2 linked regions of the Schizosaccharomyces pombe genome follow. The protein of the gene in region 1 interacts with the protein of each later gene in a pairwise test. Each region holds a gene or a part of one and is shown in the gene's direction. Other genes may lie near its edges. The genes, in order: plp1 and lsm2.

The links.
Region 2: the proteins of plp1 (region 1) and lsm2 interact in a two-hybrid assay, tested with the Schizosaccharomyces pombe proteins (one large-scale study listed by BioGRID).

Annotation. Positions count from the first base shown.
Region 1 is NC_003424.3:3,947,248-3,950,972, reverse strand, and holds plp1 (thioredoxin domain-containing protein), read left to right. Parts: upstream 1-2,026; coding exon 2,027-2,238; exon of another isoform or gene 2,239-2,282; coding exon 2,283-2,435; exon of another isoform or gene 2,436-2,479; coding exon 2,480-2,566; intron 2,567-2,614; coding exon 2,615-2,690; intron 2,691-2,731; coding exon 2,732-3,043; 3' UTR 3,044-3,088; downstream 3,089-3,725. Other genes in the region: splicing-associated factor Saf2, read left to right, coding at 1-453; qtr2 (queuine tRNA-ribosyltransferase accessory subunit Qtrtd1/Qtr2), read left to right, coding at 795-976, 1,052-1,916; ppx1 (exopolyphosphatase), read right to left, coding at 3,199-3,725. UniProt on the Schizosaccharomyces pombe protein: Inhibits early G-protein signaling events following pheromone stimulation. May help create heterodimerizable beta-tubulin by facilitating the efficient transfer of nascent beta-tubulin polypeptides to the folding apparatus.
Region 2 is NC_003421.2:2,143,129-2,146,767, reverse strand, and holds lsm2 (U6 snRNP-associated core protein), read left to right. Parts: upstream 1-1,782; 5' UTR 1,783-1,843; coding exon 1,844-1,903; intron 1,904-1,956; coding exon 1,957-2,058; intron 2,059-2,410; coding exon 2,411-2,513; intron 2,514-2,571; coding exon 2,572-2,597; 3' UTR 2,598-2,819; downstream 2,820-3,639. Other genes in the region: wtf meiotic drive antidote Wtf23, read right to left, coding at 1-276, 326-655, 872-1,007; putative signal recognition particle subunit Sec65, read left to right, coding at 3,437-3,639. UniProt on the Schizosaccharomyces pombe protein: Component of LSm protein complexes, which are involved in RNA processing and may function in a chaperone-like manner. Component of the cytoplasmic LSM1-LSM7 complex which is involved in mRNA degradation by activating the decapping step.

The DNA of each region.
Region 1 (3,725 bases):
CCTTCCATTGCTTGGTCCGAGGGTCATCGGATAGCCGCTATTTGGGACCCTTCTCAACAGGCTTACTATTTTTGGGACACTTTAACAAATACGACGAGCTGGAATAATCCGTTAGAAGATGAAGAGCAGACTAGTCCCCTAGATTACACAGCGAAAGTTCAGTTCAATCGCCTATCTGGAAAGTTTATGCCAAAATGGGCTTCACCAGAGTTGCGAAGTGAAGAAAACAAAGCACATAAGCATATGGAACAGTACTTTGACATCAATTCTTCATTGAATAGTCACAATGGCCAAAGTTTACTGGCAGAACGGAGAAACAAGCGATATACCAGGAAAGAGATGGAGCAAATGAAACGAAGAACAAAAGAGAAAAAAGAAATGAAACGAAGAGCGTTATATGACATCGCTTCAGATGAAAAGGACTTCCGCCGTCGCAAAATTATCCGTTATTAATGTTTTTATTCCATTGTTTCTTTCTTGTTTGCATGTTTTATTATTACTTTAAAACTTTAAAAAAAGTCTAAACAATTTACTATAATTTATGTAATGATATTTTTTTTTTTACTTAACTAAAAACTTTCAGTTTTGTAAGACTACTGATATCCAAACAAAGCTATTTTACAACATTATAAATCGAATGTTTAGACGACCTTTTGTGTTTGAATATCTTTCAAATTTAAAAAACATTCATATAGCAATATTCGTTTAATGTGCTACAGTGAACCATCGTTATTTTGATATCGTACATGTGTAAATAGAGCAAAACTTTTGCAGCTTTATTTTGCGATTTATTGATGGCAATTTCTTCATTATCTAGTCCTTCAGGGGCTCGCGTATCTTCAGTTACGGTGAAGAACAAGGTTCTGAAGACTCCTTGCTTTTTCCTTCCTACTTCCAGAGGAACTGTTCCTCATTTGACACCTGACAATGTTGAAGAATTCGATATTCCTGCTCTCTATGTAGGGTTGGAGGATTGGTAAGGTTTAAATTTAGGACTCAAATGCTTTATCATATCTTTTTTAATTTGAATTTCTAACTAATATGTTTGTAGCTTGGATCGTCTGGAAGCCTCACCAATCTTGACTAATGAGGGAACTATCAAAAAATGGATCGCAGCACCCTCTGTCCAACCTACTTTACTTGCTCCAAGAAGAACATCTCCTTTGCCATCTGTTTCTGCAGGACAAAGTCATATTAATATCGTTACTGCAAGTGGTGCAAAGAAACTGACAAATGACTTGTATATTAAAGCTGTCCTAAAGCTTTGTCCTGAATTAGTAATTCCTTTAAATGATACCCCAACTAGTCCTCCTGGTGTCAAAAGGAAGCCAAAAATTGTGGAACGGTCTGTCAATTGGACAACTGAGTTGCTTTTAGCACTCAAAGCGACGGACGCTTTCAATACTACTAAAGTATTTTTCCCTGTTCCTGATCTGGACACTCAGTACCTTACGCCTATTTTCCAGTTTTTTCAAGAAAATCAACTTGCTAACAACATTGCTGGCTTGGCATTTTCTAACAATGTCAATCCATTACCAGCTGATTTGGTTGGTCTCCCAAGACTGAGTATTCAAAAATTTGAATCACCACTCGAAATTCTGAAATGCATTCAAAGAGGAATTGACATTATTGTTCCAGATATGATAACACAAGCTACTGATGCTGGTGTTGCACTTACATTCTCTTTCCCGCCTCCTTCTAAAGATGTGTTGAATTCTAAAATTGAACTTGGCTTGGATATGTGGGACGAAAGGTTTGCTACTGACATGGAACCATTGCAATCCGGCTGCGTTTGCAAAACATGTCGTAGATACAAACGCGCTTATGTTAGGCATCTGTTACAGGCTAGAGAGCTAGTTGCTTGGATACTTTTACAGCTGTATGTTTATATTAAAGAGCATGGTAAAGAAAGCTAACGATTTGTAGACACAATGTTTATGCCTTCACTGCCTTTTTTCAAGGAATCCGCGCCTCCATACAAGAGGGAAACTTTGATGAAGATGTTAGAAAATTTGAAGAAATTTATATGACATCTTTTCCAGCATCCCATGGATTTGGGCCGCGTAAACGTGGTTATCAAATGGATTTGACAAACGTTCAGCCTGTAGAAAACAAGCCTGCTTGGATTTCTATGAAATCTCCTTTGGAAAAGGAAATCGCCAACGAGTATGAAGCTTTGAAGGTTACTGAAAGAAAGGAGGATACTCAGGATTACAATGAACCAGAACTGCATAATAGGTAGGTTACAGTAGCGTACATATTATGTCTAATGTTGACATTAGTAACGACCCAACAGTTGATCTTTACGCTGATACGTATGCTACTCAAGCTGCAACCGAAAGTGATTCAGAATTGGAAGATGCGCTCTTTTCACAGTTGGATGAATTTGATGATACTGCTTATCGAGAACAGAGATTGGAGATGCTAAAAAAAGAGTAAGAAAAAGCTTTAAAATGATTTTAAGAATTTAACCGTTCAGATTCGCTAGAGTGGAAGCTGCAAAAGAAAAAGGACACATGCAGTTTCTTACTGTAGAAAATGAGCGCGAAGTTATGGATTTTACGCTGTATGTCAAAACATTAGCTTCGATTATTTTAAACTAATTATTTTTTAGTTCATCAAAAAAAGTTGTTATACATTTTTACCACCCTGATTTTATACGTTGCAAAATTATAGACTCTCATCTAGAGGTACGAGGAGTTCCATTTATTGCTTACGCTAACATTCTCAGAAAATTGCCAAAGTACATTGGGAAACTAAGTTTATCCGTATTGAAGCAGCCAACGCTCCATTTTTGGTAGTCAAATTGGGTCTCAAAGTATTACCAGCCGTACTTTGCTACGTAAATTCTCAGCTCGTGGATAAGATTATCGGATTTGCTGATTTAGGTAATAAAGATGATTTTGAAACTTCACTCCTAGAATTTCGGTTGCTCAAGAGTTCAGCAATCGACCGATTAAAAGAAGAGAGTTCTTCAAACAAGTCTATTTACCACGATGAACTACAAAATAATCAATCAGATGACAGTGATTTTTTTGAATAAAAGGATCTTGGGATTACAAAGTAAGAAATTTAGATCAATGTGATGTATAATATATATCCTTTTAAAAAAATTTAAAATCTATCATAAGCCTACTGATGAGTGTAGCTATCGTAAAATGTACAGAACAGAAATCACAATGGAGTCTAAAGCAGTAACTATTTTGAAGCGACTTGTTTAACTGAGTCCATAAGTAAGGGAACTACTTTCTTTCTGCTAGCAGCGGAATTTCTTTGATTCCACATACTGAGGTCGCCATTATCTTTCTCTTCAATAATTTCTAATCCTAAATTTTGTTTGCTAAGTTTTAAGAAAGAATCGGCAAGACCAGCTCCCCTTTCAGTACGCTTGTATAAAATCAATTGACGACCAAACTCGTCGTTCTTACTCAGAGATAACCCAACAATTACCAAATCAGAATTTTGCACTTCGGCAAAACTTTTCAATTCATCTTCCCATCCGAGACGTTTTTTCTTGATCCAATCTAATCCCTTTCCAACACTGGCATAATTGACGACTATTCCGTCCGGAAAATACTGTTTTAAATCCCTGCGTAGTAGATCATCAAAAGAAAAACCCTTACAGCTCTTCTTTTTCTCTTTCAGAGTATCAAAAAACTCATCTCGAACCCAATCTTTTGGCACAAATGAGCATAAGTCATTTACTATTTTAACATCGGTATCAG
Region 2 (3,639 bases), on another chromosome or scaffold:
ATGATACAATTAAAAGTAAAACAGCCGAAATAGTGCATGTGGAATAGATGAGAGCCTTATTTAAGTTCAGATCGCCAGATTTGACGCAACCAAAGAGTATACAACAAATGATTAACCAGAGTAACCAAATTATAATCATCATTTCTCTTCTTATGTTGAAAAGGCCAATAGAGATCACCTTTACACATTGTGCCAAGAAAACTACAGTCACCTTTATACATTGTGCCAAGAAAATTACAGTTACTTTGACTGCCTTGATCCAAGTTTCATAGAAGTCTAATGAGTTAGTGACTGAAGGTAAGAATTGACCTATCGTGTCACTTACACCATAAAGAAATAAAAATCATTAGGCAAATAGCACACCACACTCCAAAATATACCCATTCATCTTTGCCATAATCTTTAAAGAGAGCGTCCTTATACGTTAGATAACAAACTGCGGGTACGTTTAGCACAAAGATTGAAATGAATGATAAAAATGCTTTTTTCAACGGAGAGGTAGAAGAATTATCTGCCGTCCCGGAAGAATGGTTTTCTCTATGTGTAATAGAAAGACTGTCTTCACCATAATCCGGAGGAGTCGTAGACTCGTCCGTATTAAATAAGTTAGGGTTGTTAGCTCCCATTTGTTTGGGATCCTTTAAATTTATATTTTCTATATTGTTAGCAAAATTCAATGGTAACTTTAGAATATTTTTTAATGGGAAAGGAAAAAAGAGCGTGCCCTGTTAGACGAATTTATACTCGTAATATGTCAAGTTGTAAACAAACAAACACAACAAAAACATTGTAAATCAAAACAAACAGACACAGCAAATAATCCTTGACACACTCAATTCTTTATCTTATCTACCAACAACACAACACTTACCTGAATATGGAGGCAATGTGCTCCCATCTTCTGAATTGTATTCTGGGAGAGGACCTTTTTCCAAATCAATTTCATTATCGTTTTTTGCACTCAATTCATCCATAGACGACCTCAAGGGGTAATATTTATTCTTCATTTTCTAACGACAGTCTATTATTTAATGATATACACACAAATAGTTCAATTGTTGTGATTGCGACAAACGAAACAGCAAAATCAAGAATATTCACTCTGTAGTCCAATTCCAATCGCTTTAAAGACTTTTTAACAAAATAATAAAATTGTTCAAACAAATTTCCAACTAATTCCTTCAAACAATGGCATAAAAAAAGAAGAACGAAAAAACTGAACGAGGCAGTGAATTGCTTCTGACACATTTATTTTGTCACTGCCCTTTTTATTCACCCCAACTTAGATTTCCTTAAAACGTTTTTGAGAAGCAAAACGTTGTAGTATAATATAATGTCAGCTACGCAATTTGGTATCTGCTTTAACGATTACATAGAACTGCGGTAATTTTTCCTTTGTGACCTATGATATTACAATACACAGGTACTATAAGTAGCAACTGAGTTTAGGTATTGTACTATCAAGTTGTATTGTTATCTATTGCAAATACAACTTATAATTGTGTAAGGAATGAGGTTTAGCAGTAACTCTATTTACGTTGTTTAGATGATTTGGATTTTAATAGATTATTGTTAAAATTAATATCAACATCGTATCATCTGCGGTGCGATATGTAAATGGAACATGTGAACATATAGTGACACTCAACGTACTGTATCATAACTAATCTCGGTGACAGCCTTAATATGATTTTTTGATTTCGTAAATCCTCGCAAAAAAATGTACGAGCTCCAACACAATACCGTGTAAATGGGCTTTGCCTGTACATGACACATTCTTCTGTTCGCTGCATCTTTCTTACTTCATCCAAAAGCGTGTAAAACGAGTCTTCTCCCGATTATAATGTTGTTTTACTCATTTTTTAAGACATTAATAGACACGGAAGTTACCGTGGAATTGAAGGTATGCCCCTACTTGGCTTTTTTGATCGCGTTATGAGGTTAACCAAACTATAGAATGATATGAGTATCCGAGGAATTTTGAAATCTGTTGACCAGTTTTTAAACGTTAAGCTTGAAAATATTTCTGTGGTCGATGCGTCGAAATATCCTCATATGGTATGCTTTGCAAGTTATCGGGAATTGAAAGAGAAATAAATGATTTCTACGATCGGTAGGGTTCGGTTTATTCATTTTATTTAGGTTTTTGATTGATTTTTGAAAAAAGTCTTGTCCAAATCGATTATGTACAACATCTTACATGAGAGGAACATGAATCAATCAGCTTTCCCAACGTATATGCTACATTCTCAACTTTTAAAATCTAGGTTTTTCATTAATTGAACAATTTAAGACTGATCATAAAGTGCGCCTCACTTTCTGAATTCTTCGATCTATCCTTTTTTTTTCGTTCCTACTCTTAACACTATCTCGTGCTATTATTCCAGAGTTATAACTAATAATTTATTAGGCTGCTGTTAAAGATTTGTTTATTCGTGGTAGCGTTGTTCGTTACGTCCATATGTCAAGTGCATATGTTGATACTATTTTATTAGCTGATGCTTGTCGTAGAGGTAAGCCATGATTTGTTAAACACTGAAATTTTAGCCTTATTAACTCACTGGTTTTTAGACTTGGCTAATAATAAGCGTCAATAATTCCTTTGAAAATTTCCTTTTTTTGGTCAATATATTCGGAAACCGTGAACTAATTGCTTATTTAATCGTAGTTCGGTTATTCATCATGTGTCCCATTGCGATTTTTTTCATGCCCGCAAAAGGAATATACATGTGTATATACATCATTTTATTAAGGACCATTGTTGTTTGAAGGTATTTTCCTCCCCTTTCATTCATCCATATTCTTACTACCTTTTCGCTTTTCTTTTAAATCCAGCTTCCCTATTATGCCTGAAACCGATCCCTTAAAATTACCGTTTTATTATCTTCAAAAAAAAAAATTAAGTAGAAAATTGTTGGCGTTTACATGATTTTTGTGTACGGCTTCTTCCATTAATATAGTTGATGAGACTTTGTCAATTATCATAAAATACATACATCGTTACATATCGGTTTATTGCTGCGAGAGGGAATTTTTAGCACTCATGCATCATTAGCAACAGAGCGTTTGTATTACTTTAAAAGATATCCACTCAGATTTGTGTTTTACAAGTCTAATTCTTCTTCCAATTTATTTTACTGATTTCATTTGTAGGATTCAACCGATCTCACCTTTAAGCCAATCAGGCACACTCTCTTTCATCGTTTTTTTAATATATTTTGTATTCTTTTAAGATCTTCCCAGTGAATGATACGATTTTACTTTTTTAGTGTTCTTAGTTTTATTCTAAGTTAATCATGAAAAACGTCTTCTTTTTAAAAATAATTGAAATGTTCAGTAGTAAGTTGAAAGTAAAATCGTATTTATCTACTACATACGGTTGAGCAGCATAAGTATGATATCGCATTTGCTGCCAACTACCTCACTCACCATCCACATGCCATCTATCATATTATATCCCATTTACTTTGACAAGAGCCGTCCACGTAGGTTTCGTTGTGTACCAAAAGACAAAGCAATTTTAAATCCGTTAGCTAAAAATATTGCCGATGTTGTTCGCGATTTGGGATATAAATGTAAATTGGAACCATTGAAGACACATCCTGCAGATTGGGTCAATCCAGGTCGAGTCGAAATGGT